Drosophila melanogaster: one gene and its partners. Changing the gene in region 3 together with the main gene of any one other region gives a genetic interaction. Each region holds a gene or a part of one and is shown on either strand. Other genes may lie near its edges. The genes, in order: Dab, comt, cac and stj.

Region 1 (7,041 bases), on a different chromosome or scaffold from region 3:
TTCGCCAAAAATGATGCACAACTCGTTTATCGTAATAAAGAATATGCATTTCAGTTGTTAATGATTTTTTTCTCTGTGCAATAATGGTGTTGGAATTGCGATTGGTTAGTACCTGCGGTGATGTTAGTAGCTGTGGTGGTGGTTGTGGAGATGGTGGTGCTATCCTCCGGAAAGAGGCCATCCAACTGACCCAGAGAGAGACCCAGACCGAGACCCGCCTGGCTGCCGGAGCTGAGCTCCTTGAGCAGCTTCTTCGGCGGATTCTTCAGCTCTTGGAAGAAGTATTTCTTATCGACATACGGCCTGGTGCGTCCTGTGCCTAGCGGATCCAAATCCGTGAACGCATCTGAACAATGGAACAGAAGGGATCAGGAAAACGACAGGGATAACAAGCAATGAGAGCAGCTCCCAAGCGGAGACTCCGAATTCGCATTTGGCACAAAATCAAAAACAGGAGAAAAACTCAAAGAGCTCAGAAGAAATGGAAGAAGAAAGCTTATATCTTCGGTAAGTTCCGAAGACAACAAATCCACAAACGAAGATCCCTATTTAAAAGACATATAAGTTAATTTGTTGTAAGTAGCTTTGAATATAGGATGAGCACGTTACTAACCAAAACCACAAATAAACTAAGATTAAAAAAGTAACGTAAAGAGGGGACAAACCTAAAATGTTTAATAAACAAAATAAGATTGGAGAATAATAAGAATATAAGTCACATAAAAAAAAAATAAAGAATGAAGGCGTTTTCAAAACTATACAAAATATATGTTTAGATTTTTAAGAGTTTCTTTACACATTCAGTGTATAATTTACATTTGTTTAGCTTTACTAATTATTATTCCACAGGTTTTGTATAATTACAAAGAAATCTAAATTTTGTTAAATGTTTTACCCCCGAAGATTCCATTCAGTTCAATTAATTTGACCCAAGAAGACTACCAATTGTTCCCTTGCCGGGCGGACACATCTAGTTCCACTGACCACTCCCCACACGATCACAGACAGCTCTTTTATCGCTTCAATGGAGATGACAAAGCGATCAAATTTCACACAAGACGCGACAATTTCGATGATGTGGAAAAGTAGGAGGAGCGATGCTCTTTTCAACTCACCCAATGACAAAATGGTGGAGGTCTGTTCCTCATTTCCCAAGGCCGTACTTAGTCCAATATCCAGATCAGCCAGAGGTCCAGATCCTGCAGCAACCTCCGTCAGTTGTTGGGTGGGAGTGGCCGTGGATTCGCTGGAGGCCAGCGGAGCCATGGCCAAAACCGAACCCAATCCACTGCTGCTCACCACTTTGGACGTGTCGAAGACATCATTTTGTTGGTCCAGTTCCTGCAGCCAGTTGTCATCGTCGTTATCTGCAGCCTGTAGTCCAGCGGAGGCTGAGCCGTGGGAGCTACTTGTACCAGGAGGTGGCGAAAGCATTGCATCCAAACTGGTCACCGCATCAGGTGTTTTGTTGGGCGGCTTGTGCCTGTTGCGTCCGGAATCAGGTGGCGGTGGCAGTATGCTATACGAGGGCACATAGATAAACGAGTCTCCGAAAGGATCGTCCTCGCTGGCTGATTTCGCTAGAGATGGATGGCCAGCACCACCAGTGCTACTGGTGGTCGGCTCGTTTGGCGTTATCCGTTCCATCTGACTGATTCCCCGCTGAAGCGAGGTAAGCTCCTGCTCCAAGTCCACAAGATCGGCCACGGATTCCGGAGAGACCTATAAAATATAGTGTTGTAATGAAAAATAGTTTGAAATAGCATATGACTGGGTAACGAACCTCTTTGGCCGCCGATCCGGATGCCTTGGCCACGTCAAGACTCACGCCCAGCCTGCTCGTTCCATTCGTGGTGCTAAGACTACTGCCCAGCAGGGTGAGGGCATGGCCGGATGAGATTCCTCCGCTGGCCAAATCCGAGTGGCCCAGACCCATGCCACCCAGGCCGGAGGACTTCAGCGACGACAGGGAGGCCAGCTGGCTGGAATGGTCGTGCAGGGACTTACCCTGGATCTGCTGGCGCGCCATCTCAATCTCCTTTTTCTTTAGCTCGAAAACTACCTGGAAGAGATCGCGCATGGCCAGCACCACCTGGCTGGCCGCCTTGTCCGTCTTGATGCCGAAGAACCGGTGACCACTGTCCGGCGATCCGAAGATATAGCCAAAGGCCCTCGAGTCAGTCATATCCTGCGCGATGAAGGAGATCTTATGCACCGGATGATGGTACAGGGAGTCACCCGTTTTCTCATCCCTCAGCCGCAGACCATCGATGGTCACATGGATGGTTATCCGCTGCTTGTGCTCTCCAGCCGCCCGGATGGCCATTTTGAGATCTTGCAGCGCCTCCTGGCACATCCGATCACCTCGGGCCTCGCCCACCTTAAATTTCGAAAGATCACAATGTTAGATACTGAAATTTATCCAAAAAGTAAACTCTTACCTCCAGAATGCCGATGAGCTTTGCCTTGAACTGAACGCCATCGCCGAAAAAGCGTCCCGGATCATTGCGATCTGGAAAATGAGCCCAAGAATCGAATGCCAAAATGAGTCTTTGTGTTTGTTAAGGTGTGTATTCGGATAATTTTGGTTTGGCGAAAATGTTTTACAGAGTGTAGTGGTCACTCGTCAGTTTTGGAAGCCGTGGGATTTGGGGTGTGGCTGATTTATTTTGAGAGAACCCACATTTATGAACGTTTTTATTTAGCACTGTTACAAATTTTGGCAACATTTCAAAAAATTTAAACATAAAAAAGTTACAAAAGGAGTATTTAGGAAACGGAACTATAATATAATTAAACCATCTAGTCCGAAATTAAAAAGAAAATGCTTTAATATTTGCAATATAAGATGAAATGGCAAGCAAACTAATTACTCATTAGTTTATCAAAAGAAGTATAATCCATTTCGACAAAACTCTATGGATTGTGCACAAATCTGGGTTTATTGGACCGAATCCCCATTAAAATATTTTGAATGATTCATTTTTCAAATTTTTCGAGTAATTATGTGCTTGAATGAACACTTGTGTTCCTCGTTGGATCATCCAATATTTAAAATGATGCTTTGATGGAATGCAAAATCTATATGGATTATATATTTTTTATTGTGGTATATCAAATTTGAAATTTTAAAAATCTTCATTCAAGATCAAGAAGACTTTCATTGTTCTATTCAATATTTCGCATCACTTTTCATTCCTTCCGCTGGGAACTATGATTTAAAAACAGTTTTATTATTTCTTTGCCTTCCGAAGCATCTTTATTACAATTTTATACTGAATGCTAAAACAGTTTTGAACGTCTAAGTAGAATTTAAAAGATTTTTAAACATGTATGTACACTGAAAAACTTCTTCTGATCATCTTCTTTATCTTCAGATTTTTTTATAAAGAACTCGATTCTTTGAATATCAGCATTTATTGTATTAGTAAATCTCAATTTGCTATAGTGATAGGACCAATATTGATTTTTTATATATAGCTTCGTCTTATCAGCACAATATCAAAAAAAATTTTCACTGTGATCTTCGCATATGTTTGTATCTTGGTTTTGTTTGCCCTTTCTCACTGCGGAGGGGCCACTGTGTTCGTTTGTTTGTTATTTGTGTATTTGCTTAGTTTGTTTTCGCTAACGTTTTGCGTAATTCGTTTCCTCTGCCGCGCCGCTGCCGCCGCCAAAGGTGCTGGCCAACGAGAGATTGGAGGAGGCTGTGGACAACTTGGCCACCAGGGACTTGACCATGTTTCGCCCGGCCGAAGTCTCAGTGGGTACTGCTCCTGCTCATTGGGAAAACGCTGGCTGGAAAAACTCTGGAATTCTGGAACTCTGGTCACCGAAGTGTCAACAGAATCAGTGTAGCATTCCGGGCCTCTCTGTTGTGTGTGTGTGTGTTGACATTTCCATTGGGACGCGGACGATGACGAGAGGGTGTTGGTGCTGGAGGGGGCACACAATGGGGGACAAACAATACATAAATTCCACAACGATTTTTCGCGACGCTATAGATTTAATTAAATTCTAGCGGAGAACGATGCGCGATCATGGAATGAATAAAAGCGAATGAGAGCGTGGAAACGATTCGAATGCTCTCACGGTGACTCTCTTTTTCGACTGGACTGGATTGTCGCAGTTTGTTCAATTGAAATAATAAACAAAAACACACACACACACTCTTTGAGGCACTCGTGTGTACACATAGATTTCACTCTATTATTTAGTGATTTTTGTGGCGCAAAATACAGTACAGAAAACGAGCAGCTCTCTCGGCCATTGTTGATCTTTTTTGGGAAAACTGCAACACCTGCGACGCCGGCGCAGCAGCTGCTATTCGATTGGCGGATGCTGTCTGAGACGCTTATCGATAAGCCGGGTCTAGCATTGAATCGAGGGATCGATCAATAGGATATATCGGAATTTGAAAAGCTAGCTTCGGCCAGAAATAAACCTAAAACGTTTAGTTTTACTTAATGGTGAGGAATTTACTTTGTCCCTGCTCATAAGTATGATTAGCTTTTTAAGTAAACAAAGGAGAACGCTATGGTCGAATTACGCAGATAATAGAAGTGCGAGGGAGATGCAGGAAGGAAAGTAGAAAAGTTGACTGACAAAATATTTACCACCTAGAAAAGGTCTATCATGTCTCTACAACATGGCGTATGAGTGTAATTTGATATGCAGTGCTGTTAAAAGGGCAAAGTATCTTTAAAGAGAAACAATTTAGGACAGTTTTTCTTTTACTGATTTCAGAAATATTACTTTAGAACTTCGAAGTAGGGATGCCTGTGTTCAAAATACATAATATACCCTAATTCAATTGACAATACCAAATAAATTCGTTGTTGACATAAAACACTGCAATTTAAATCAATGTGAATGGCTTGCGTTTTTAGTTGATAATTTCATCATTCCTCACTAGCAAAAATTTCAAGAAAAAAAATTTCTTCCCACAAGAAGAATTACTTTAAAAAGACTTTATAGATGAAAAAATTCCGTTTTAAGGTGTTATTTGTATTACTTACATTTACAAGGACTCGTTTTCTTGCGCAGCGTCTGCATTTTGCTCAGAAAAAGCTGATTGGCATTCGTGTAGTAATTCCTTTGGCCGCGTATAATGTTGCGAATAATGATTGAGCCTTAAAGAGCTTTATTTATTTATGATTTATTGGACTTCCTTCGTTGTTTTATTGCTAATTGCCTTTTGTGATTTGTTTACACTTGTTTCGCTCTTTGCGTCTTCCGTCTCTTTCGCACTCCCCAACTTCCTGACAGTCAGCGTTTTGTTGTTGTTGTTATTGTGCCAGTCGGTCGATAGAACACACCGGCATTTGTCTCACTCACACTCGCACGCGCTCACACGGACACGGCACGGATTATCGATTTTCCAACGGGGGCCTCTGTGTGCGTGTTTACTTCCACTTTGCCTACTTTAAGGCGTTGTGGGGGGTGGGAAAGGGATGTAGCTACGCCTTTCATTATGCAGCGGTAAGCTATCTAACTTCAATTAACTGTTATTCGTTGTTTTTGATCCTTTCCCGTCTTAATATTGCACAACACGCGCAGCTTTCTTTGTCTGGCAGCCAGGAAAAAAAGTGAAGCACAAAGAAGTGGGTGACACACTCGTGATTTTGGCTGAGCGAAAAAACCAATTCGACTCTTTTGGCAAATATTTACAAGCTGATTTTTACGTTCTTCCTGCTTTGCATGTTATTGGCCATTAATTTAACCCAATTTGAATGGGTTTGTAGTTTAATTTGGGTCCTACGCCCTGGGAGCAGCAGGATATGCACACACACCGAAAATTCGATAGTAAAACTCCAAGGATTCGAGGGTGGTGGGTCAAGTGCCGCGGGCACCCTGTACGCCAGCCGGTACATAGGCTATCGGTCTATCGACGACAACCGATAGGTAATTGCTCGTACTTGCGGTACACACAATTACATATGTTTATACAAAGGTTTGACATAAATTGAAACTATAATAGTAAATTTCTCTGTTAAGCTTTGATAGAAAAAAAAAATGTAAAGATTTTATACCAAGGGTACCTTAAAGTTCGATTAGCTATCAAGATATTATGTCGTTAAAACTCGTATAACCGTTGAAGATCCTTTTTTAAATGATGATTTAAATTTTCTTGGTATTTTCTACAATCGAATAGATGGTCACACTGCAAAGCAATTTCTCCACAAAACAGTGGCGCCATTACGGCCGAAAAGAGAACTCAAAAACATAGCAAGACATCGAAAAATATTGCACCACAACCTTGCAACGGTCACTTTGCTCGCAGTCTGCTGCGGTCACTCTATTCGAACGGAACGGAATATTTATCGCGGATTGTCGCGTTATTTCGTTTGTGTCGCGCCTCCATCAAACTCACCTTAAAAATTAACACTCAAATCGTAGATTACGAGCTCTGTGCGGTGTTATCAAAAATAACGGAATTAATTCATTACGGACGCCTACGCCAGTCGTTCTTCCTCTTTTTCCACTGCGCGCGTCGCTTATTTTTACCTGCAGCGCAGTCGCGACAGCTGAAAATTAATAAAACGAAGAGAAAAGTGTAAATTGGATCACAATTGGTAACAAAAAGTCTATGCGATCGATCGCCAGTTGTTTTATACATCAACAACAACAAAGCAAACCAGTTATTAGATGTTTTTGTGAATAGTGTAAATCAAATTCTCGGCTCATACCTACACACACACCAAATACATTCCCGTAGTTCCTATTCAGATCCGATCGGTTCTTCGACTCGCAGATCACAGAAAATATGCAAAATTAAGCCAAGAGGAGCGTAAATTCGTGCGCAAATCGTGGGCGCAAAAGTGTCGTCAAAACGGGGAAAATAATCAAAGTTAACAGTAATATCCTGTTGTGTAAATAAAAGGCTTATACATACACACACAGTCGCAGAAGCAACAAACAAAGGAGGAAAAAGCGGCAAGATGAATAAAACCTGTGCCCGTTGCCAAAAGGTGGTTTACCCCATCGAGGAGCTTAAGTGTCTGGACAAAGTGAGTTACATTCCCTATGCATATGTAGACT
Region 2 (8,162 bases), 1.3 Mb from region 3:
GCTACCATCGAACATGGTTCGAACATGGTTCGAACATACATGTGCGCTGTGCAAGCAGTGGTCAAACATATAGCAAGCAGACGCACAAGCAGTTCCACTACACTAGAGGGCTGGATAACATCATTCTCTTTGTTTGCAATTCGGGCAGCGCGGAGGTAAGTCAAAGTTTGTGTTTTGTTGTTGATATGTTATTTATTAATCTCGACATGCGTTGCACTCGATTAATTTAAAGTTAATATAGAAGTCATACGACATCAGAATCACTATGACAGTAGAACGTCTCAGTCCAGGTAGATGCTATCCAAAGAAATGTATATATATCCAAAAGCAAGGTAAAATATCACAGCAGCATCTTTAGTGACCATATTGATATACAAACAAATTCGACCAAATTCTAATTTGCTGACCTTAGCCGAAACGCCAAGTGCGCATATGGTTGATAACTTGATAACTTTTCGAAATGCGCATGCGGGCATCTATTGCAGGAGGATATGGGAGTGAAATGTCCCGAGCTAAACGGCGCTCCAACTGCTCATTGCGGCCGTTGAGCAAATTCTGCCATATCTGGGCCCGCTTATCCAACTGTTGAGCCTGCACGGCTATCCGTCCATAGGAAACGGGCTCATACGCCAGCTTCAGTTGATCGAGCAGATTGGTGAGCTCTTCAATGGCCTGCTGCAGTTTTCTCATGGCACTGTCATGCATGATGAACGTCTCATCGGCTTTGCTGCCGTATTGACATATATATTTCATCCTGACCCAATTGGACGACGCGATACAATTCTTGCGGCGCAATATTTGCATCTTTAGCATGTCCATAAGTATTTCGGCCAGATCGATGGGTGGCAACTCGGCGGGTATCACCAAGCGGATGGCAAAATAATTGGGCCTACTGTACTTGTCCAGGAAGGTGCTAATCACGCCGTCTTGGGCATTACGCACCGAGCGATAGGGCGGCTTAATGCCGCGAACTGCGCCCAGCAAGCAGTGGTCGATCTTATTGCATCGAACTTTTGACATCGAACCGCGGTTTGTCGTGTAAAAAGCGTGTTAGAAATGTGTTTTATTATACAAGTAAGCTGCAATGGCCGTGTTTGTTATCTAGAAACTTTCTCGGAATGGTAACATACGTGTGTACAGAAAGTTAGCGATTGGCATCGTCACTCACCGTCGTAGTACTGGTAAATTGATTTTGCTTCGTCGAACAGCCCGGCAGAAAAATTTTAAAAAATTATAAAATTTTGCTGTGTAAAAGTAAGAACGAGAACAAAATTTTGTTGTGCTCCCAAAAAAGTAAAAGTACTTAATTATCCGAATCAGGTAGCTACACTTAACTCAATGACTACTGGACGCTTAAATACGTAAACTTTCGTCTCTAAATTTCCTCGCACACTAGATTTGAATTTTCGTTCAGTCGGATATTATCGATAAATCGATTATTGTGGACCACGAATTTTCTGGTATAAATGCGGTAGCAATTTAAGACTTCTCTTACCGGAAAATCTTAAAAAATTAAATGATTACATTTTTTGTTAGTAAAAGCCCGGCGAGAATTTATTAATATTTATACATATACAACTTTTATATTAAAGAGCTCTCGAGCACTCTACCAATTTAAAAAATCAACCGCTTGCTTTATAAATTTAATTATTATTATTAAAAAAAAAAATCATGCAAATACGAGTCGTTAGTTATTAAACTTGGCAAAAGAAACGTATATTTAAAAACCAAATCCCATATGGATGTACTAACAAGTTCGCCAGCCCTGGATTCCTAGGCGCATGTGCTGAATAAAATTTTAGATCACATCTTCCTTGAAAGTTCAGAAAGGATATAGTTCACAATTCGTTCAAAAATTAATATATATATATATAGTTATGCTGTTTCAGTGATACTGTAAACAAATATCAAACGTTAATTCGCACACAAAGCTGCGTTTTCTGACCATTAAAGTACTTCCATTGGATTATAATTATTGATTTTTGTCAAATTCTAAACAACCCCGTGAAAATCAGCAAGAATCTAAAGAAATGGCTTATGTGAGTTTGAAATACCAATATTTATAGGCACTACGGCACTATTTTTGACTAGTTACTAAAGATTTATAATGGTTTCCGTAGATTTTGAAGGCCACCAAATGTCCCACGGACGAGCTTTCGCTGACCAATCGGGCTATAGTGAATGTTGGTGATTTTCCGGAGGAAATCAAGTATGTGGTCCTAACGGGCATAAAAGTCCATTGTTTGTATATATATATATATATAATTCCCACTTGCATCGCTTGCAGATATGCGGACATATCGCCGGCTCCGGGTCAGCACTTCATCTTTGCGCTGGAGAAAACGGTGGAGGTGCCCAGCGGCTATGTTGGCTTCTCCCTGGTCCAACGAAAGTGGGCCATGGTGTCCATTAATCAGGAACTGGAGGTTCGTCCCTATCGCTTTGATGCCAGCTCGGATGTCATCACTTGTGTGTCCTTTGAGACGGACTTTCTGCAGAAGAAGACGTGAGTGCATATATATAGTATACGGCGTCAAGGATATTATGTAATATCGATTGTTATCTACCATCCTATGCAGTGTCTCCCAGGAACCCTATGACTCCGATCAAATGGCCAAGGAGTTCATCATGCAATTCGCCGGAATGGCACTCACCGTTGGCCAATCACTGGTCTTCAATTTCAAGGACAAGAAACTTCTCGGCCTGGCCGTCAAATCCCTAGAGGCCATCGATCCCAAGAGCTTGGGCGAGGGCAAGGACACCGCGATGCGTAATGTCCGCTTCGGCCGCATCCTTGGCAACACCGTGGTGCAGTTCGAGAAGGCCGAGAACAGTTCGCTGAATCTGCAGGGCAAGAGCAAGGGCAAGGTGGTCCGCCAGTCCATTATAAACCCGGATTGGGACTTTGGCAAAATGGGCATCGGTGGCCTGGACAAGGAATTCAATTCGATATTTCGACGAGCCTTCGCATCCCGTGTCTTCCCACCGGAACTGGTCGAGCAGCTGGGCTGCAAGCATGTCAAGGGCATTCTACTTTATGGTCCACCGGGTACGGGCAAAACTCTGATGGCTCGCCAAATCGGAACTATGTTAAACGCCCGGGAGCCGAAAATCGTCAACGGTCCACAGATCCTGGACAAGTACGTGGGCGAATCGGAGGCCAATGTCCGGCGTCTGTTTGCCGAGGCGGAGGAGGAGGAGAAACGCCTGGGTCCCAACAGTGGACTACATATCATCATCTTCGACGAGATCGATGCCATTTGCAAGCAGCGTGGCTCCGTGGCCGGAAATAGTGGTGTCCACGACACCGTCGTCAATCAGTTGCTAACCAAAATCGATGGCGTTGATCAGCTGAACAACATTCTCGTTATCGGCATGACCAATCGCAGGGACATGATCGATGAGGCTTTGCTGCGACCGGGTCGCCTCGAGGTCCAAATGGAGATCAGCCTGCCCAACGAGCAGGGTCGCGTCCAGATTCTCAATATCCACACCAAGCGGATGCGTGAATTCAACAAGATTAACGACGATGTGGACAACAAGGAGATCGCTGCGCTGACCAAGAATTTCAGCGGTGCCGAGCTGGAGGGTTTGGTCCGTGCCGCCCAGTCGAGTGCCATGAACCGACTGATCAAGGCCGATGCCAAGGTGACCGTTGATCCTGAGGCCATGGAAAAGTTAAAGGTCAATCGAGATGATTTCCTGCACTCGCTGGAGCATGACATTAAGCCGGCATTCGGTACGGCCCAGGAGATTCTCGACAATATGCTGGCCCGCGGTGTTATCAACTGGGGAGCACCGGTTAGCAATCTCCTCGAGGACGGCATGCTGTATGTGCAGCAGGCCAAGGCTCCAGAATCTAGCGGCTTGGTCTCCGTACTCGTGGCCGGAGCACCCAACTCTGGCAAGACGGCACTGGCCGCTCAGCTTGCCAAGATGTCAGACTTTCCGTTCGTGAAGGTCTGCTCGCCAGAGGACATGGTCGGCTACACTGAATCGGCCAAGTGCCTGCACATTCGTAAGATCTTCGACGACGCGTATCGTTCCATGCTTAGCTGCATTGTGGTGGACAATGTGGAGCGTCTGCTGGACTACGGATCGATTGGGCCGCGATATTCCAATATGACGCTACAGGCACTGCTGGTGCTGCTCAAGAAACAGCCGCCAAAGGGCCGCAAATTGCTCATATTGTGCACATCTAGCAGGAGGTGTGTGTGTGTTGAGATTCGGGATTTCCCTGTCGAGATTACCCAGTACTTACTACTCCTACTTGTTTTATTTTTTTTTAGGGAGGTCCTGGAAGAGATGGAGATGCTGACGGCCTTCACCTCGGTGCTCCACGTGCCCAATCTTTCCAAGCCCGACCACGTTCTGGCCGTGCTGGAGAACACGGATATCTTTAGCAAGGGCGAAATCCAGGCGATTGGCAAGAAGATGGCCGGAAAACGGTAAGCTATATGATTCCAAAGAAAAAGTCCTATAAATATTTACTAATTTACCTATCCATTTCGACCAGCGTGTTTATTGGCATCAAGAAGCTGCTGGGTCTCATTGACATGGCTAGGCAAACGGAGCAATCACAGCGGGCCATAAAGTTCCTGTCCAAGATGGAAGAGGAGGGTGGTCTCGACATGGTGGCGCGGCAGTAAGGCATCTTAAACTGCATGTGCCCAAATGGAGTCTCAATTATTAGCTTCTAAGTGCTAAGGACGGGCGATGAATAGCGATGAAACCAAATCAGAATCTCAATGTACACGTACATATACACCGCTAAACATATACACAGATATATAGAGTTATATATATATATACGATCCAGGCTTCGCGATGTTTGTTCGGTCCCAAAGCCCAGATAAAAATCACAATCCACATCCCGGAGGAGTTTCGTGTGCTTCTGAGTTCCCCCACAGAGCTCAATCAAATCAGACAGATATGTGAGACCCGTGACCTGAAGATGATGGCATATAAATGACATAATATATGGCTTAAATGGACAGATACTCAATTACATTTATAAATAATTAACACGCGTAGCCACTAACTCGTTAAAGGCATGATAATCTTTCTCGTTACCTTTTAATTTTAGGACTTTTGCTTCAGTAAATTCTCAATAGGAAACGAAAAAACGGGAGAAAACACCAAAGTATTTGCCTTTGGGCATTGTGAACGTTGTTTATCGGTAACTAAACTAATTAAATATTTATTAAATCAAATATTGTTAACCGCCAATGTTATAATTATATCTTGAATAAAGTAAAACAAACTTAAATTCCAATTTTAACTAGCTCGCTTTTTTGCAGTTAAAAAAAAAGAAATATTTTTTAAAGTCGGGAGTATTCTTATTCATGTTTAAAAACCTAGTAATCCCATTCAGCTTGCAACCACAGATTACCATTCTGTATAAATTACTTTGAATTCTGAATTCAAATGAAACAGCAATGAAAATAGAACAAACACATTTTGAAAATTCTCTTGACGATTTCTTTGTTTTATTTCGTTTAGAAAAAGCGACACACAATATTACTCTTAATTGTTTCTTGTTTCTCGTTCCTTGGACTTATTTGTGCAACAATAAACAAAATATAAATATTTGATTTCGTTTTTATTTTGCTAAAACCGTTATTTAACTATTTCTCAGCTTACGGAATTATTCATTATTTTTTCCTTTTTTTTGCAGTGCGCAACAATAATATTTCATCTTGTTAGTAGAATCCTCTTCATAATTCGTGTTTTGGTAAAAAAAAAACAAATTCAGGAAAGATAAAAAAAGGTAAGGTAAGGGGAGATCGCCAATTTGCCAAATTATAAATAGAAAATTAAAATAAAAGCACAGATTTAACACAGAGCGTATTGTAACGCTTTTGGAACCCAAGAAAAATTCGTATATATATATTCCTAAGTAACAGCAATTACGTGGCTTGCATACGAAACAGCTTATGTTCAAAAGTATGTTTTTCAAAAAATCTGCTGTATTGAAAAGAGAAAACAGGTGAATAATAAGAAAATAAAAATGGCAAGGGCATATGCTTCGCTTAGATTAATAGTTACATTTGTGATTTCATTTTTTTTTAAGGATAGTTTTTAGTTTCTGTTTCGTTTTGTTAACAATTGTTTCATCCAGTTGGAGCCAATCGGTCCATCTCTCGTTGTGCTTATTTTTCTTGTTTCTCCTCCTCCTCCTCCTTCTTTCCATCATCCTTTTCACTTGCTATATATTTTTGATCCTTGTCTGTTGCTCCTTCTTCTTTCGTTATTGAGGTGCTCCTTTACAGTTAGGTAGCGAGTTAGAGAGAGACGGCTATAGACAGCTAAAGGTACACGAGTACAAATACAGTTACAGCGGTTTTACAGTTAACGGTTAGCGATTGAACGGTTATTTCAGAATTTTTCCCGATTCACGCCTCTCGGGTCCTGCCCAGGACGTATATATGTTTGTGTGTGTATGTGTGTGTGTGAGCGTGGATATTTTCTTTGATTTTGTATTTTATTGTTGCTTTTTTTTTATTAAAATTGTTCTCTTTGTTTTTTGTGTTTTATTTACATATAATAATAGTTTTACTTCATTTCAGACATTTGTTGAACATCGTTATCGTTACACACATGGTGAATACACATGTGCATTTATATAGTTATATATATAAAGGGTTATTATTGTAACAGTTATTAGGTATACATACGTATATAAGATCTCGGCAACATTTAACAACAAATTTTCTCTTATTCGTTTTAGTTTCTGTTTTGTGTGGCGATTTTCATTTTCTCACATTTATTGCACAATATATATTTTTTTTGTATATATATATATATATATGTATATATATAGAATTCTTTAAATAATAGCATGTTGTACTTGAAACTTGCACTAAACTATAAATTGTACAAAAAGATTTCTCAGTTTTTTCGCTTTTCATCCAACTAGTTAGTTGTTAAGTTTTTTTTTTCTCATATCTTATTATCAACTAAAGCATTCTACATAACATGTAATCAACTCCCCACTCGATCTCTGTAAGCGATGGCGGATAAGTGGGCGTGGTGGGGTCTAGACTTGGGAACTTTGAGGTTGAACCTTACCTTATAAAAAAAAACACATGCTTCTTGCACCCGACCTCTTTAAACATTATCTTTATAGCTTACTGATGATGTTCACCAGTACGTTAGTGGTTCTATATCCTTTTGACACACTTACTTAAATAATAATAATAAGATACATTGAGTTGCGTGTGTTTGTGTGTGCGTTAAAATACCTCTGCTCTCACCTTAAAACAAAAAAAAAAAATCTCGATGACTTCTACAACTAAATTCTGAGCTTAAGCTACATATATATTCATATATATATATATTCATATAAAATCTCCTTTTTTTTTGAAAGGATTCTTTTCTAATTATTATAATTATTTCTTCTTTTGGAGGCACAGCCACCATTTTGAACTTTAGGCCCTGTTCTGCTTCTTTTAGACATGTTCCCCTATATTTTCGATGTTTCTCTTCTTTTTGTTTTTTTTGGCGGGGCGGGGAATTGGGATGCTATAATCGATCGAGTGAGAGAGATAGATGTGGCTATAGACGATCAATGACAACGACAACAATTGCAAGCGAGCGCCACAACAACAACAGCAACAACAATCAATTCAACTACAACAAATAACTAAATGTGCATTGAGCAGCTTGCGGCCACGCCCCCTCCTGCCATTCCCACTCTACCAGGTCCACAAAAACCTCGCCACGCCCACCGCCTCCTCTTCCGCAATATACGTCTGCATCGCCTTCTATTTGGTTTCATCCTGATCCATCGGCTCCTCGGAATCATCGCGGGATAGAGTTCTGTAAATTACAAATATACAGGTTAGTTACTCATTCCTATCATCAAAGTATCCACAAAAAACCATGGGCTAATGAACTTGACCATAAACCCACCTGTGCATCGACTGCATCGAGAGGCCAGCCATGGCGTTGATCGTCTCGGACTCGTCGTGCTCCACCTTGAGCGTCTCCAGCGCAGACAAGCCAACCGTGTGCTCCAGCATCCTCACGCAGGGCCAATGCGTTTGCTACAAAAACCAAAGGAAACCAAAAGTTAGCTAGGCGACCAGTGGAACATGCTAAGTTCTCCCATTTACCTGTATGGCTATCGTCTTCTGGAGCGTATTGATGGCATTCTGGCA
Region 3 (7,360 bases):
CTCGTCCTGAATCCCTTGATCGTTGATTTCGGCTCGGCTGTTTTTTGTACACTTTATTATTATTATTCCTTTGCTGTATTTATCGCTTTTTGAATCGTTGTCTTTTATTATTATTTATTAGCTATTCCACGCTTTACCACCGTGTTATTATTGCACTTGAACTGAATTTGGAAATACGAAATTCGATTAGATGCAAATCACACACACACACACACACTCGATTCGATTCGATTTTGATTACGATTTGAAGTGAAACTGGTCAGATTCCGGAATCTCTGTTTCATTCGCTTGGCTTTGCGTTAGCTTTGAGTGTTTCGATGTTGTGCTACTTATTTTGCCAACCGATAATTATGATGCGCTCGGGTCAATTCAGTTCATGACCTATTGAAAACATGCTCATACACTCGCGCACGAACATATACATACATATGGATTGGATGGGAATGGGCATGGGCATGGGTATGGGAATGTGGTTACTCAGGTGCATGCCAAGTGCATGGCTGGTGTTATTTTTGTATCCAATATGTGGTGTATCTGTAGAGAAGCTGATCCACAACATTTCGGACTGGCAATGGCTATGGACACGGTCTGCAGATAGATGTGGTTATTTCGGTTATTGGTATAAAATTCCATTACTGGAACACGCCATGAATGAAAAACGTTAGGGGATGAAAAAGTCAGAGGCTGAGAGACTGGCACACATACAAATGCATGTGTATGGAACACCAAAAAAAAAAAAAGCTCAATACACTCGCACACACACATACACGGGCTGTGGTGAGTTGTGAAACGGTGAGATTCTGAATTCCGACTGGAAGAATTCTGAAAACTTGTTTACCTTTTACGGAGTATTCTTGAATTGACAAACTAGCCCATAAGGCAGTGAAACTACGAACAAGGTTTTATCTTTACAGTTATTTGCAGATCAATCAAATGTTTTGATTTACGGGGCTGATAACAAGAATTGGCATTTGCAAATTTCAACTCTCTCCATTCCATCCACACACACACACATATACACACGTACCGGCAGAAGCTCTCTCCCCCTCTCTCTCTCACTCTTTCTCTTTGGTTTCAACAATCACTGGGTCACACCGATAACGATAACATCGCAACCACAAATCGCTTGCCTACTTTTAAGGGCCCAGTAAATCTGGTTGCATTTGCATTTAAATTAACTATTGCCCTATTTTGAATAGTTCATTTTCAATTGCGCAAAGCAATGTCTTTTCTTTAAAAGCAATTCTTGTTATTTATTGCAATTGTATAGTTCCAGCTCTATTTTCCCTAGTGACGTCACCAGGCACAGTTGTCTGAAATTTTTTTTTTTTTTATGTTGACGATGTCTTTCGGAACGATTTTGGGTTTTTGGAATGGGCAGAAGCTATATATATCTGTGTGTCTAACTACAATCGGGCCACAGTGAGACCAACGAACCTGTAATTGCCAAAAATAAACAGCAACAATGACACACTTGCCATCGTTGCCCCCTCTAAACTAACGCTTTTTGTTATTTCTTTTTTTCTGGAAACTGTTACACTTTTAATTGGGCTTAAAGAACCAACTAACTGAAATTTGATATGTCGTTATAAGTTTAGTTACAGAGCACACGACTACCACAATATTTGTTCATATGCTCGCATTCAATTCCCCATACGAGTATTCATATGAGCATTGTTAAAAGAACAGAGACAAACAAATTTTTCACTTCCGTGAAGAGAGGAGAACCATCATTAGAATTCGTTTCCGGTATGGAAAACATATACATGTGTAGATTTGTATGTGTGTGTGTGGGTTGGGGAATTTACGACTAGTAAATATTTGTGTGGACTGAGAATATAGTTAATTTAAATATTAATTTGGGGGGTGCTTCCTGCTACATCGCCGCAATTCATTCACCTCGAAAGTGCGTGTACACGTCACAAAAATAAACGATATACCGATAGGCTAAAAAACACCCGAAAACTCCATATCTCCTTTTCCTTCTCCTTCAGCTTTAGCTTTGGCTTTAGCTTTTCCTTTCGCCTTTGCTTTTCCACTTGCCTCTTGCCACATCCACTTCCACTTCCATCCACCGCAATATATAGCACCACCGACGCAACATTCCGCCCGTTGTGCTACCGACCCGCTGACCCAATCCCAACAACTATGTATATATATATGGCTATACATATATATGTATATGTATATGTATATGTATATGGATATGTATATTCGTGCGGGTGTGTTGGTGTGTGTGTGGTGCGTTCGTGGGGCTTGTTAACTTTAACTTTTACAACTGGTTTTTAAGGATAGCTTCGGTAATTGGGATTTGAAACGAACGCATATATATATGTATATGAATGTGGCTAAAAATAAAAATTAGATCTGGTTGCCTGGAGGAGCACAATCAGAGGTCGTTTATTGGCTTCAGTAAGCCCGAATAATGCTTTTCACTTGGTTTCCCGATATCTTTTCTTGCTATTTTTGCTGTCCTCGCCGCCATTGTCGCCAATTCGACGTTTTGCCATTGGGTTTTTCACGATTTTTCACGATTTTCACGCTTTTCCGACTATATTTCTTGTTCTTGGTTTGGATGTTTGTAGTGTTATTTTCACCACTCGACCCGAATTCGGATGCCAGCGCACACAACATTCGAAATGTGGAATTTTCACAGCACTTTTAACCCCGCATTGCGAGTGATTTTCACTTGATTTCTTTAACGCCAGGCTTCTGTATTCAGCCACATTTTAGTTGTCGCACATTTGCTGTTAAATTGACTGGGTCCCGAGTTAAAAATAAAAAACAAAAACCGCTTCTACGGGAGCTGTCACCACCGACTTTGTCTCACCAGTTGGACGAAAAACTCAACAAAACGCAAGACTTCAACTCGGCGACTTTGTATCACATACTACCACATCGCCAGGGTCCAAACACACGCACAAAGGGCAAAAATATGGGGAAAAAAATCTACCAGCCCTGCGCTCTGCATCCGCCCGAAAGCTCTGGTCCAAGCTTCAGTTCAAGCTCAATCGGACAATCGGAGGTGGACACACTGGCCAGCCAGTGCGGAGGAGAGCGCATGCGTGTCCTCCAAGGAAACCCGCTCCTAGGACCGTTACAGTCGTCGATTGAGCTTTAAGCTCCGCTTGCTCTTCACCCCTTGGGAACAAAACTATCGAACTTTCGAGAAATCGCGGTTTTAAAATCCGGGCTTAAATCATACTGCTAAAGTTTAAAAAAAAAGCGAAGCGACGAAGTTTAAGCTACTTACCCATTCTAAGAGTTTTTTTTTTAATTGATTTAAGTAATTGATTTACTACTGCCACAATTGTTGATAAAGCTTTAAGCTTTAAGAATACTTTCAACCCCTTGTAGTAAAAACTTTTGCATCAAGATATCGGTTATTTGAAAACCCGGCTTTAACCGAATTACAAATGATCAAAGGCGCTCTCATACTTGACCTAATTAATTAATATATAAAACAAACAACATATTTTACTCTATTTCAGACTTAATTTTATCTCTGTACATTTCAATAACCCTCGTCAATTACCTTTGCATACTATCTTTAATAATAATGAATTTTTACCAATTTTCAATACTTTTCTAAATATCAATTGATCTTTTAAAATAATGTTAAGTTTAAATAATTTATATTTAAATTGGTAGTGGTACTCACATTAGGTCGCCTAGATTCGGTCGCGTCTGGACAAGAGCAAAACTTTCCGGAGCCCGGCGCCTTTTGTTAGACCCTTGCGAGCCGTAGTGCGTGCTCCGCCGGATGACGCCATCGCCGATGATGGCAATATTGTCATCCAGACCGTTGATGTTGCTAATGGTCAATCGCGCCATAGGAGATGAGCCCCTTCGGCGACGAGCTCCCACTCCGCCCAGCATTCTGGGAATCGATGAATCGAACTTTGCAATACGCGAAATGTACTCCAAATATTGCCATTTCTGTAATATATTCACTACCAACTATCGGGCACGTTCACAATACAATGCGTTGCACTTGTTTGGGGATCTTCAACGATTGCGAATGTCCGTAGACGACGGGCCCAGAGCCCCAGGTGTGATGCACCAGCTGCCACGGTCCGGACGGAACTGATAGTCGATGGCTACGACTGCTGTCGATGCCCCAACAACCCAGCAAGATAGATAACGGCCCAGATGGCGATGACGACGATTGCGGCTGATGACGTGCGATGACGTGCTTGATAGTAGTCAGCATTTGCGCAGTACAGTGTCTGCCGCTGGTAATTAGGGTGTCCAGGTGTCCATGGGTGAACGCCGCTCAGACGGGCCAGGCCGCCCACTCCGGCATATTAGCAGCTTCCTTTGTTCACGAGCGCCAACAACACACTGATAACAAAGGCATGGTAAACGTTACTGTATTACAATTAATTTCGATATCAAACATACCTGTGATTCTTTCAACATACACGTTTTCTATATGTGGTCAGAGGAATTTAAACATTGCAAATTTCGAGATTTTTAATGTTAATATTATGGTGGAGATCTAAAAGCGCAGCGATTCTATGGGAAAATTCCTTTTTGGCTTTCCCGTGCCATAATTTATTATTTGAATTGCCCTACTGTCTTAGATAAAAATAAAACTGAAATGCCATAATCAGAAGTTTTCGTAATGAAACTAGCAAAAAAAAAAAAAGAAAAAACCGATAACCGCTAATTACTCCGAGTAACTTTTGCCCATCGCCATGCCCAAGGGGCTATTATCACAGCGCTCACTTAGAAATGCGTTCCCATACACATTTCGGATGTGATTCAAATTACAAAGGCCGTGATCCAGTCCAGAAACTTGGCCACGTCGGCATATATAATGTACTGATTCTTACAGCAAAGCTTATGGCTAGATTCCGCATCCGGTGTCTCTACGGCGGGCAGGGCCGCTGATACTGTGCCACGCAGCATCCAGCGATTGTTCCGGCGGATGAAAAGTCCGGCCCCCGATATACCGGTGTAAATGCTCGCCCCGCTCTGATGCGTATCTCGTTCCTCCGCCTGGATGCCGGCGCAAAACGTTCGGTTTGAGGATAGGCTGCGAAAGTGGGCATTGGCTCGAAAGCATTCGGCATTGCCGACAATGGGAGCCTTTACTACCTTGGGTGCACTGGCATCGGTGGACTTCTTGCCCGGTAGCTCCGACGACAGCTTCTGATCCCGCGTCCTGTTCGTTCTGTCAAAGCTCCAGCCGATGACGATGCCCCGCTCGCCCACAATGTACTCCGTTTTGCTGGAACCAGACCACAGGCAAGCGGGTCGAATAAAGGTGTTAAATCTGCGTTGAAAATAATGGTATACTGTCAATATAATAAATGATCTTCATATTCGATTTCACATCGCGGTTTAGATATGAATCTAAATCTTGAATATGTAAGCTTTAGGCATATTGGCACCCACCGAACTTCGTCCTTGAGTATAATCACTGCGATATCCGCATCGTAGCTGCTCAGCTGACTGTTAAAGTCGGGATGAATGTAAATGCCATCGACGGGGGCCGCCAGAGATCCCTCCTCGTTCCAGTTCTTCAGATTGTGGCGGCCCAGAAAGACGAGCACCTCGTTGGATGTGTAGCGCTTGTTGAACAACTTGAAGCAGTGCGCCGAGCTGATTACAACGCGTGCCGAGACAAGCGAACCGCCGCACTGAAAGTCCAGGGAGGTCAGGTTGTTCACATAGATGGCCGCTAGCCAAGGCCACGATCCCCTGGTGATCGATGGCAGGCTATCGGCGCTATCGCTTTCTATCGCTTCTGCTTCTGATTCGTCCACAAACTGATGCTCCAGGACATCGTCTTCATCGTCATCGACAAAAACTGGCGATGTGATGCCATCGGAGCTCTTTGGTTCACCGATTGCGACATGAAGTGATTCCGTTCTTTGGGACAAGTGAAAGTCCAGATCCCTGTCGATGCGTCCGCAAATCTCCTTGGGCGCCTGGGCAAAGGGTTTTCTACAAAAGCGGACATTAAGTAACGAATGAATGTCACGATCGTGTGTGTGTTTTAACCGACCAAAATCCGGATGCATACTTCTTGAACTGGATGTGCGGCGTACTGGGCGGCTTGTCGTCGGTTTTTCTCACCTCCTCCTCCTCGGGATCTAGCAGCAGGGAGCTCTTCTTATCCGGTATAAAGGACAACTTCCTAATGTGCTCCAACTGGATTTGGGTCATGAAGATGCTGTGCTCTGTGGTGCGGGCAAACAAGTCATGGATTAAATCGTTTGCTACCCAAGTTCCGTGGATACGCACCGCCGGATCCGAAGCAGATCACATGATTGTTGGCTGACATGAGGAGCAGTTTGGGCGGGAAGTGATGTTTGGGAAAGCGGATCTTATACAGCACCGGTGCATTGTGGGTAAACTTGCCGCGTGTGAGTAGCTCGATTTCGCCCAGATAGTTCTGTGTGTACTAAGGGGATTAGGTAACATCTGGATGACAATATACCACTTACCGTGGTGGGCTTGCCACGCATCGAGAGCGTAACTCGTATGTGGAGCGGCTGGTGGCCATCCGGACTGCGCACGGCCATCAGGCCGAACCATTCGCTGCCGTCGAAGCGGTACTGAAACACCTTGGGGCACGGACTGATCGGCATTCCCTGGGCGACTGCCTTGGTTACGTGCTCGATGCAGAGGATCAGGATCGCCGCCAGGTGCAGCCTCATCGCTAGTGTCTGGGAATGCCCGGGATGAAAATGCTTTTCACTCAAAACAAACGTAAACAATGCCGCAATTTCGATCGAAGCTTTAACAGTCCGGGAACACTGTGTGCATTTTATCCACCAACAGAGTTGCCAGACCAAGAAAGTAACCCCTGTTAATTAAAATGAGAGAGGGGAAATTGATCCTTTAAATTCTCAATTCCGTGCAAGTTCAAATTTCAAAAAACTTTACAAATTAATTATATCCCACAAATATGGATTCTACGAAACATTTACTGGATCCACTGTTAGAACTAAAAGGAATATTTTTATAATTTCCAAGTTTATTGTTGTCTTTTTTTTATAAAAACTTAAATTAGCAAATGCCTTGCTATTTTTACATGGGTATTTTACATGGGTATTTACAAAGAGATCGTTTGCTATGATGAGGTCCAAGCTCCAATTTGAAGAACCACATTTATTTGAAATTATCTGTGCTATTAGGAAAATTCATCCTCCTCGCCATAGCCCCACTCGTCCTCGATCTCCTCGTTGCCAAAGAATCGCTCCAGATCCTGTTCAGCCTCCGCCGGAACGGTATCGGCGGTAAGCAGTTGGTCCTGATCCTCCGGACAACCGCGGCAGCGACTCTCGTTGATTCCATAATTGAGGCAATTCTCGCCGACGCACTCGCAGCATCCGTCGTGGAACCA
Region 4 (7,104 bases), on a different chromosome or scaffold from region 3:
TCACCGGATGATCGTGCCTGCCCAGGACGAGCGGCCTGGCCATAACCGGTATGTAATTCAAGACCATCTCGCGCACCTCGGCGGTGTCGCTGAGGTGGACGTAGTAGCCCTGATTCTCGCACGCCATCCACCGTATATCATCCCAATTGGCCACCTCCTTGCCAATCAGGTAGGTGAACACACGGACCGGCTTGTACGGCGGGTCCCGCCAATTGTGCAACTCGAAGACCTCGCGATTGTTCTCCGGCGCCCCGTCGCCAATGATCATGATCGCCTGATTGCACTGCGCCCCGCGCGAACTCAACTTGGTCTCTTCCAATAGCTCGAATGCCTTTGTCAATGCAGCGGTATAATTGGCGATCGATTTGGGTCTAAACAGTTCAATCCCTTCTTTCAGTTCGCGTATGTTGCCCAGATTGGCCTGGATATGGTGAGTATCGGGTGTGTTGTTTTTTTGTTTTTTTTTTTTTGGGATTTCGATTGATTGGTTGATTGGTGTTTTGTATTCGTATTCGGTGGCATCAATTGAGTGTGTTGTTGTTGTTTTGAGATTTCGGATTTGGTGGTGATGTTCGTTATTAATTTTTGTTTTTTGGGGATAGAAGAAATCAAATATGCGTTAAATGAAGAGAAATTTGATAAACATAAACAGAATCGATATATACTTGAATCAGTGTGTCTTCGAAACATGGGACGACTGGGCTCACTTCCTTATCAAAGGTGAAGATGTTCACAAAGTCATTTGTACCTAATGTATCGAGTATCGTATTGACAACATGCTTTGCGATATCTAGCCTCTGTCCCAACATTGAACCGGATCCATCCATCAGGATAACAATATCCTTCGGACTCGTCGCCGCCTCCATGTACCAGGAGCGTAGTCGGCAATCGTATAGATCGACCGGTACGTCCTTTCGCCACTTCGATGCAGGGAATTGACGCATAAAGCCAGTCGAACTGCCAAAGAATTGCCACGACAATGTCGGATCGTTTTTGTAATTGTCACGGAATATCTGATCCAAATTCTCCGACCACTGAATTGCTTTTATCACATCCGGTGCTGTGTCAATGTAATCGAGTGTTAGTTGTGTTATGGATTTTGTGTTTTTGGTTGTGTCGAAAGAAACGGAAAGAATTTTGCAAGAAACACGATTAGTTCTTCTCGTCTGCTGACGAGCACTTAATCCTAGCTTTAGTTTTACGGGCTCTATTTTTTTTCTTTTGTATTTAGGTTTGTGTTCTGGTGGCACAAGTTGGGTGTTATACGGTCTTTGGCAAGCATTCCGCGTGTGTCGGAGCATTCGCTTTAAAATATTTTTGTATAGCATATTTTGAGCATTCCCTGGCGTAAAACGCGAGCGCGTCGTCAACGTTCGCATTGCACCGCCATCGGCCGGGGAGGATCGCCAAGGTCAAGTTCGGCGGACCATTAGGTACGGTGGGTGGGCCGGGCGGCGCAATGCGCTGCTTGACGCGTGCACGCGTTCCTCGCACGCATTGACGCAAGCAGTTTGGAAATCGGAAAAAAATGATTAGGGAGGCGCAGCTTACGGCTTCATATCATAATTTTCACATTACAATATAAGGCTTATATGGCATACACAAAAAAAATACAAATTTTAGGGTCAAGCGATCTAGCAGAAAGCTAAGGAGCGAGATAGATAGAGAGCGAGCTAGCTAGCTAGAGGCGGTTTCAAGGCTCTACTTTTTTGGCAGCTAGACAGAGACAAAGAGTGTTTCGTTTTTAAGCTTGTGTTTGATTTGAAAGCATTGAATGCAACCCTGATGATCGAGTCTGGAGCTTTCGTATAATCCAAGGATCTTTTATCGTAAGGATACAAAATAATAAAAATAATAATAATACAATAAGTTTTTATGATCTGGTGATGATCAACACAATAGTTTTCAAGATTATTTCAGAAAAATCTCAAATTTTTATCTTATTCGCGATTTCAAATATGAACGCAATTCAATATCCCCAAACTCGATCGCATAGCATTTAAAAACAGGGTCGTTGAATAGGAACAACACAGACAGGCGGCAATTTCAGTTACAATTACACAGAGCAAAAGAGAGATAGAAATACAGAGAGAGAGAGAGATAGGTGTAGAGCGGAGAAAAGAGATATACGGATTACAACGATGATAATCATTCCAAACCTCGATCGAACACATTGACTGGCACGTGGACCGAACTGACGCTAAAGTTGACCGGAGTATTGTGGAATTCCGGACGCGGTTCCAACACCACCACCTTCGGCTGGACGTAGATCAGCGGCTCGCCTATATCCTTGTCCATGTCGGGAGCCGGTGTGGGAATGGGCGGGACTGGATCGCCGGGCTCCAGCATCTCCTTGGCACTATAATAGGAGAACATCTTGTCCGCCATGTCGTTCTGATGCGACAACGCCGTGTTCTCAGCCGTGTCCATGATTCGCTAGGGATGATATCGGTTTTTTAAGAGGATTTCCTTGTCTATTAGTGCGTGGATTTACTTACCCTCACTGCACTGACTTTTAGGTCCATCATCATTTCGATTTCCTTGGCCATCGAATCGACAATAGAAGCGCCGTTGCGCGAAACGACCTTTGCATCCTTGAAACTCTGTTGGAAAACCAAGTACATATATGAATTAACCGAATGTTAAATGAAAAATGGTTCTATTTCACCAACCCATTGCCATGTCATAAGTACGTGGCCAGAAATTATAGGCGGAACCACCCCGCTAAGCAAGCTTAGAGGCCCCCGAGGGCCTATAGACAAACCCATTCACATGCATATGGAATACTATAGGCAGTTGGCACAAGTGCGGCTACAAATCGTGGGGCAGAAACATTTAATTTGTAAATCCAATTGCGATGCCTAAAAATAAATAACCAGCTGTGCCGGACAGCAAACTGACCTCATATGGGGTGAAGGGGATTTGCAGATGGCTAAGCATAGTCGTTTGGATACCCTACCTCAGAAACATCTATTAAATATCAAAAAATCTATATAATAACTAAACTATTGCAATTGGTTTATTTATGAAGGCATAGCTAGTTAATAAAAAACAAAACTAAATAATAAATACTTGACTGACCTACTAACCCCATTAAAACTTCCCTGCTTTAATGAACACCATTGTTTATATTTAGAAATCAAGTGGATAATTAATAGCTAACTAAATAGATTTTTCGAGAGCATTGGCTCTTCGACCCACTGCCGCACAGTTTCCCATCTGGCTGGTGCTTTACAATTTTTATAATTGCCGCTCGGGCGGCCTTTAACCCAAATTCGGAGCCGAAGTCTCAGCCTCAGAGAGACGTCAACAAGGAGCGCACAAAAACAGAACCGAAAACAAACACACACACGCGCACATAAATAGCGGGGGGCGCATGGAAAATTTCGGGGGAGTGGGGAAAACGGAGGAAAACGGAGCGGCGGAAAAATCAATAATATGCTCTCGGTAGCTCACCTCTTGCACCTCCTTGCGCCTGGTGATGAAATCGCCCAGATGAAACAGCTCCATGCCCAATTTGTCGGCCCACGAATGAACGCTGGATGTGGAAAATGGTGGCGTTAGTCTCGATAGTCGGAATATTCAGGGAAAATGACCAATGTCCGGAAAAACTCACAGATTGTAGTTGATGTTCTCGGCTGGCTGCAGATTGACGCACGGTGCCAAACAGACCAGAACGGAGAGCAGGCCCAAGCAGAGGCGCCACCAGGCCAGGAGACGGGACCAGGCCATGATGATTGAGCAGCGCTATCCTCGGTGTCCAATGATCTAGTAACTGCTGATGATGGTGGTCGATCCAGCGGGAGCGCGACATAAATACCAGGCTCTGCGATTTTCTTAGCCTACTTTGTACCTGCACACACACACATTCACACACTCACAGGCAACACGCACGCACCACGTTTGCACCACATATCCCGTTAGCTCGGTTTTGGCCACCTGCCCTGGCCATCCGGTAGCATACCACCCGCGTCTTCACTGGGGATACCTTCAGTTGCTACTCAATACTCGCCGTCACTCAAGCACTGTACATTGTATTTTGCTAAGTTTTTCCAATTTTCTAAATTAATTTTCCACAGTTTTATCGCGCGACCTAGCACTTTTCCGTGTGTGTGTGTTGTTGGCCAGCGAAAACTTTTCTCTCTACACTGTCGTGGCCGTTTTGACGTTTCTTTTAACGTTTCTGGGCCAGCTTAAAGCTCTTTTGCCCAACATACCTTAGCCGAAAAGGGACAACCCTTGTCTCTCGCTTTTGGCCATTTGCCGCACTCTTCTTTCCACCCAGTGCGCTTGCCCTGACATTTGGCGCATCTGCGCCCTGCACTTGTTTACCTCGCCGCGAGTGCTACAGGTGTTTGTTTACCTGCCAACGCGCCTGCGCCTCCACCAGATTGACGTGCGTGTCCTTCCAGCTGGCCGAGCATCTGTTGCACCAGCTGGCGAATGGTGACAGTTGGCCGCAGGTGAAGCTTTCCAGCTGGGAGGACATAGCACACTAGGAACCCGGGCTACTTTGCCCAAAAGTTGGATTCAAACTCACTTGCCAAAGTAACCGCCAGGTGGCGTTTAAAGAATATTCAGATTTATACTAATATACAATATAATATGAATTACTGCTGAATGTACATATGTATTGTACGACTTCGGCATATGCTTACATTTCAAGATAAGAAATAAAAGTTGAGATTAATTCTTTTTTTTCACAGACCGGACGGAACAAAAGATTGTGCTTGAAACTTTTGTTTTACTGCTTAGGATAGAGCTTAAGTTAAAGCTTTATCACTCCTGTTCCGTTTGAATATCGTAGAATGCAATTCGCGTTGGTGATTTTGTTTAACTTTAAATATACACGCTGTCGTGGTTCTGGAAGAATGTGCTTTCTGTATTCGTAGAGTGGTCGTAGTTCACAAGTTTTGACTAATTATCGATAAATTCTTCTTATCATACTCAATTCTCACAAACAATTTCCGATTCCAGTTTTTTTGGCTGCTGGATAAGCGAGTGTAAACGCGCCTTATACATATGTACCTAATTGGAATTCCAACAATCGTAAAGCTCCAGACTTGACCGTAGTTCCGGAAATCAAATAGCAGTGGTCGCTTTAGTTTATCAATACTTTTTATTGGTATATCGTAAGGCTTACACGTTTCGCAAGATACATATGTGACCCCAGCTGACCCAGTCGAAGCACCACCCACGCCTAGTACTTGTACCCGCCGGCACCACCAGCACCACCGCCGCCGCCGCCACGAGCTCCTGGCTGTGGTCCCTGCGGGTACGTGGCCTCGCCCTCGTAGCTCACGTCCGCGTGGTAGCCCGTCTTCCAGTCGGCGGTGTAGCGGACGATCTGGGTCCTTCCGTCGGGCATCTGGACGCGGTACTCGCCGGTCACCACGTCACCATCACTGGACGCCTTGTGCGCATAATCGTTGGCGGTCTCCGGATCCTGAACGGCGTACTCGAAGTCGTACGGCATGCCGGGCACGTGGACATGGTCCTGCATTTGGGATAATGGATAAGGCATGATCAGTAAAAAAATATAAAAAACTAAAAATACAATTACGAATTATAATTACAGAAGTCAGTTCTAATTTAACAAGCACAGTTTTTGTTGAGAAATAAATCAACATAATCTCAAATCTTAATTGTATCTGTATCTTCATAACGATTATTTCTGGCAATCATAATAAAGATGTATCTCTGCGATGACAAACTGATCTTTGATCCTACACTCGTTGGCTGAGTGAACATTATGTTGAACATCAAATTGGAATAAAAATGCATCTATGGCAAACGCATTACAATGGTTCATTAACCACTGATCTCTGATCTTTTCAATGGCTGATGATTGCGGTTTATGATGATTAAGATATACTCACATCGCCTGGCTGGCCAGGTATGTTGCGGGGAGTGCCAGGAGGTGCGGGTGGCCGGGGTCCAGGTGCCGCTGGTCTTCCAGGTGGGCCGGGCTTCTGTGGGAGTTACAGACCATTTAGCAAATGGAAAAGTCAAAAATGAAATAGCTAAAAATTCCAAATGGGGTGTAAATACTGCTCATTACTCATTGTCGAAGTGAATTACACTGTCTTAGTGATGCCAAATATTTATTGTTAGCTTCGGAAAACTTGAACTGCTGAACTTCGCGTTATGGAAGTTCACCTGCATTGTGATATTTTCGCAACGATCGGTTGTCGTTCGGTTGGTTCGGTTGGATCTCGAAAGGTTAACTTCCATTCATTTTCAACTGCCAAAGCCAAAGCCCTTCACCGACCGACCAATTCGAAATGTTGCCATCATTTTGGGCCGACATTCAGCAGCATGACGTGCCGCATTTATTGAGTTGAGCCACAGCACTCCGGGTGATAAATGCGGCGACAAATCTCGACTGGATCCAACTGGAATTGGCTGCCTCTGCCACTGCCTGTGACTGCAACTGCTCCCAGAATGATGGCCGTAATTAGTCCGTTGACTGGGATTCAATTTGAGGCGGTTGGCCAGGCCATTCGGCCAGATAGGCACATGCCACCATACACACATATATCGACATACCCCCACATACTTAGCTAGATAATTCAGATGGGAGCAATACTCACGAATGGGGTCTTGGGTTCCGAGTAGTCGTAGCCATTCTTGGTGGGCGGGAGGTACGCGTTGGAGCCAGGGGCGATCTGGGCGTAGGCATAGGCACTGATGGCAGCGAGGGATAAGCTCTGCAAGACAATCGAATGGAATTTAATTTAGTAAGCTGAACATAGAAGAAACTATGTCTGGATTAACATTAAGTTTAAGTTTTCGTGTGAAGTAATTTTCTATTCAATTTCATATATCTAACTTTTTTTCACGGTGTAAGAGCCGGGCATTTGGTGCGACATTATATCAGTGACTTAAAGGTCAAATTAAGAGGGCGAACTGAAAAGTGAACGGTTGCAAATGGATGTAGAAGCTCCGATAAGATCGCGACTGACATTCAGCCGTGGCGTAGCAGGTGCATCAGCAGCAGAAGCCTCAGCCAAAGAGGCGGCAAATTATTTAGAACGTGCCCGAAAGGCGTTTGCTCATCGCCCGTAAAAGGGCAGCAAATGGCGGAGGTTAGTGGCGATCTGC

What was found.
Region 1: of cac (region 3) and Dab, changing one enhances a phenotype caused by changing the other (phenotypic enhancement), as found in Drosophila melanogaster (one study listed by BioGRID).
Region 2: of cac (region 3) and comt, changing one enhances a phenotype caused by changing the other (phenotypic enhancement), as found in Drosophila melanogaster (one study listed by BioGRID).
Region 4: of cac (region 3) and stj, changing one suppresses a phenotype caused by changing the other (phenotypic suppression), as found in Drosophila melanogaster (3 studies listed by BioGRID).

What each region holds. Positions count from the first base shown.
Region 1 is NT_037436.4:16,710,912-16,717,952, reverse strand, and holds the start of Dab (disabled), read right to left. Parts: upstream 4,294-7,041; 5' UTR 3,742-4,293; coding exon 3,633-3,741; intron 2,513-3,632; coding exon 2,442-2,512; intron 2,381-2,441; coding exon 1,784-2,380; intron 1,723-1,783; coding exon 1,116-1,722; intron 347-1,115; coding exon 113-346; intron 1-112. Other genes in the region: lasp, read left to right, coding at 6,942-7,010. UniProt on the Drosophila melanogaster protein: Together with Abl, involved in embryonic neural development. May have a role in eye development. Acts as an adapter protein for SH2-domain containing proteins during sevenless (sev) signaling.
Region 2 is NC_004354.4:13,257,216-13,265,377, forward strand, and holds comt (comatose), read left to right. Parts: upstream 1-1,805; 5' UTR 1,806-2,030; coding exon 2,031-2,039; intron 2,040-2,120; coding exon 2,121-2,209; intron 2,210-2,287; coding exon 2,288-2,506; intron 2,507-2,579; coding exon 2,580-4,208; intron 4,209-4,289; coding exon 4,290-4,448; intron 4,449-4,516; coding exon 4,517-4,649; 3' UTR 4,650-5,273; downstream 5,274-8,162. Other genes in the region: CG15742 (uncharacterized protein), read right to left, coding at 409-1,020; HDAC4 (histone deacetylase 4), read right to left, coding at 7,767-7,821, 7,915-8,048, 8,118-8,162. UniProt on the Drosophila melanogaster protein: Required for vesicle-mediated transport. Catalyzes the fusion of transport vesicles within the Golgi cisternae. Is also required for transport from the endoplasmic reticulum to the Golgi stack.
Region 3 is NC_004354.4:11,981,016-11,988,375, forward strand, and holds the start of cac (cacophony), read right to left. Parts: upstream 4,073-7,360; 5' UTR 3,880-4,072; coding exon 3,662-3,879; intron 2,901-3,661; exon of another isoform or gene 2,821-2,900; intron 162-2,820; exon of another isoform or gene 1-161. Other genes in the region: gd (gastrulation-defective), read right to left, coding at 4,768-5,281, 5,404-5,955, 6,035-6,191, 6,256-6,415, 6,459-6,671; tsg (twisted gastrulation), read right to left, coding at 7,148-7,360. UniProt on the Drosophila melanogaster protein: Voltage-sensitive calcium channels (VSCC) mediate the entry of calcium ions into excitable cells and are also involved in a variety of calcium-dependent processes, including muscle contraction, neurotransmitter release, gene expression, cell motility, cell division and cell death.
Region 4 is NT_033778.4:13,803,231-13,810,334, reverse strand, and holds the start of stj (straightjacket), read right to left. Parts: upstream 4,151-7,104; 5' UTR 3,733-4,150; coding exon 3,617-3,732; intron 3,539-3,616; coding exon 3,457-3,538; intron 2,604-3,456; coding exon 2,499-2,603; intron 2,437-2,498; coding exon 2,160-2,436; intron 1,061-2,159; coding exon 666-1,060; intron 422-665; coding exon 1-421. Other genes in the region: Cpr50Cb (cuticular protein 50Cb), read right to left, coding at 5,201-5,497, 5,880-5,972, 6,594-6,710.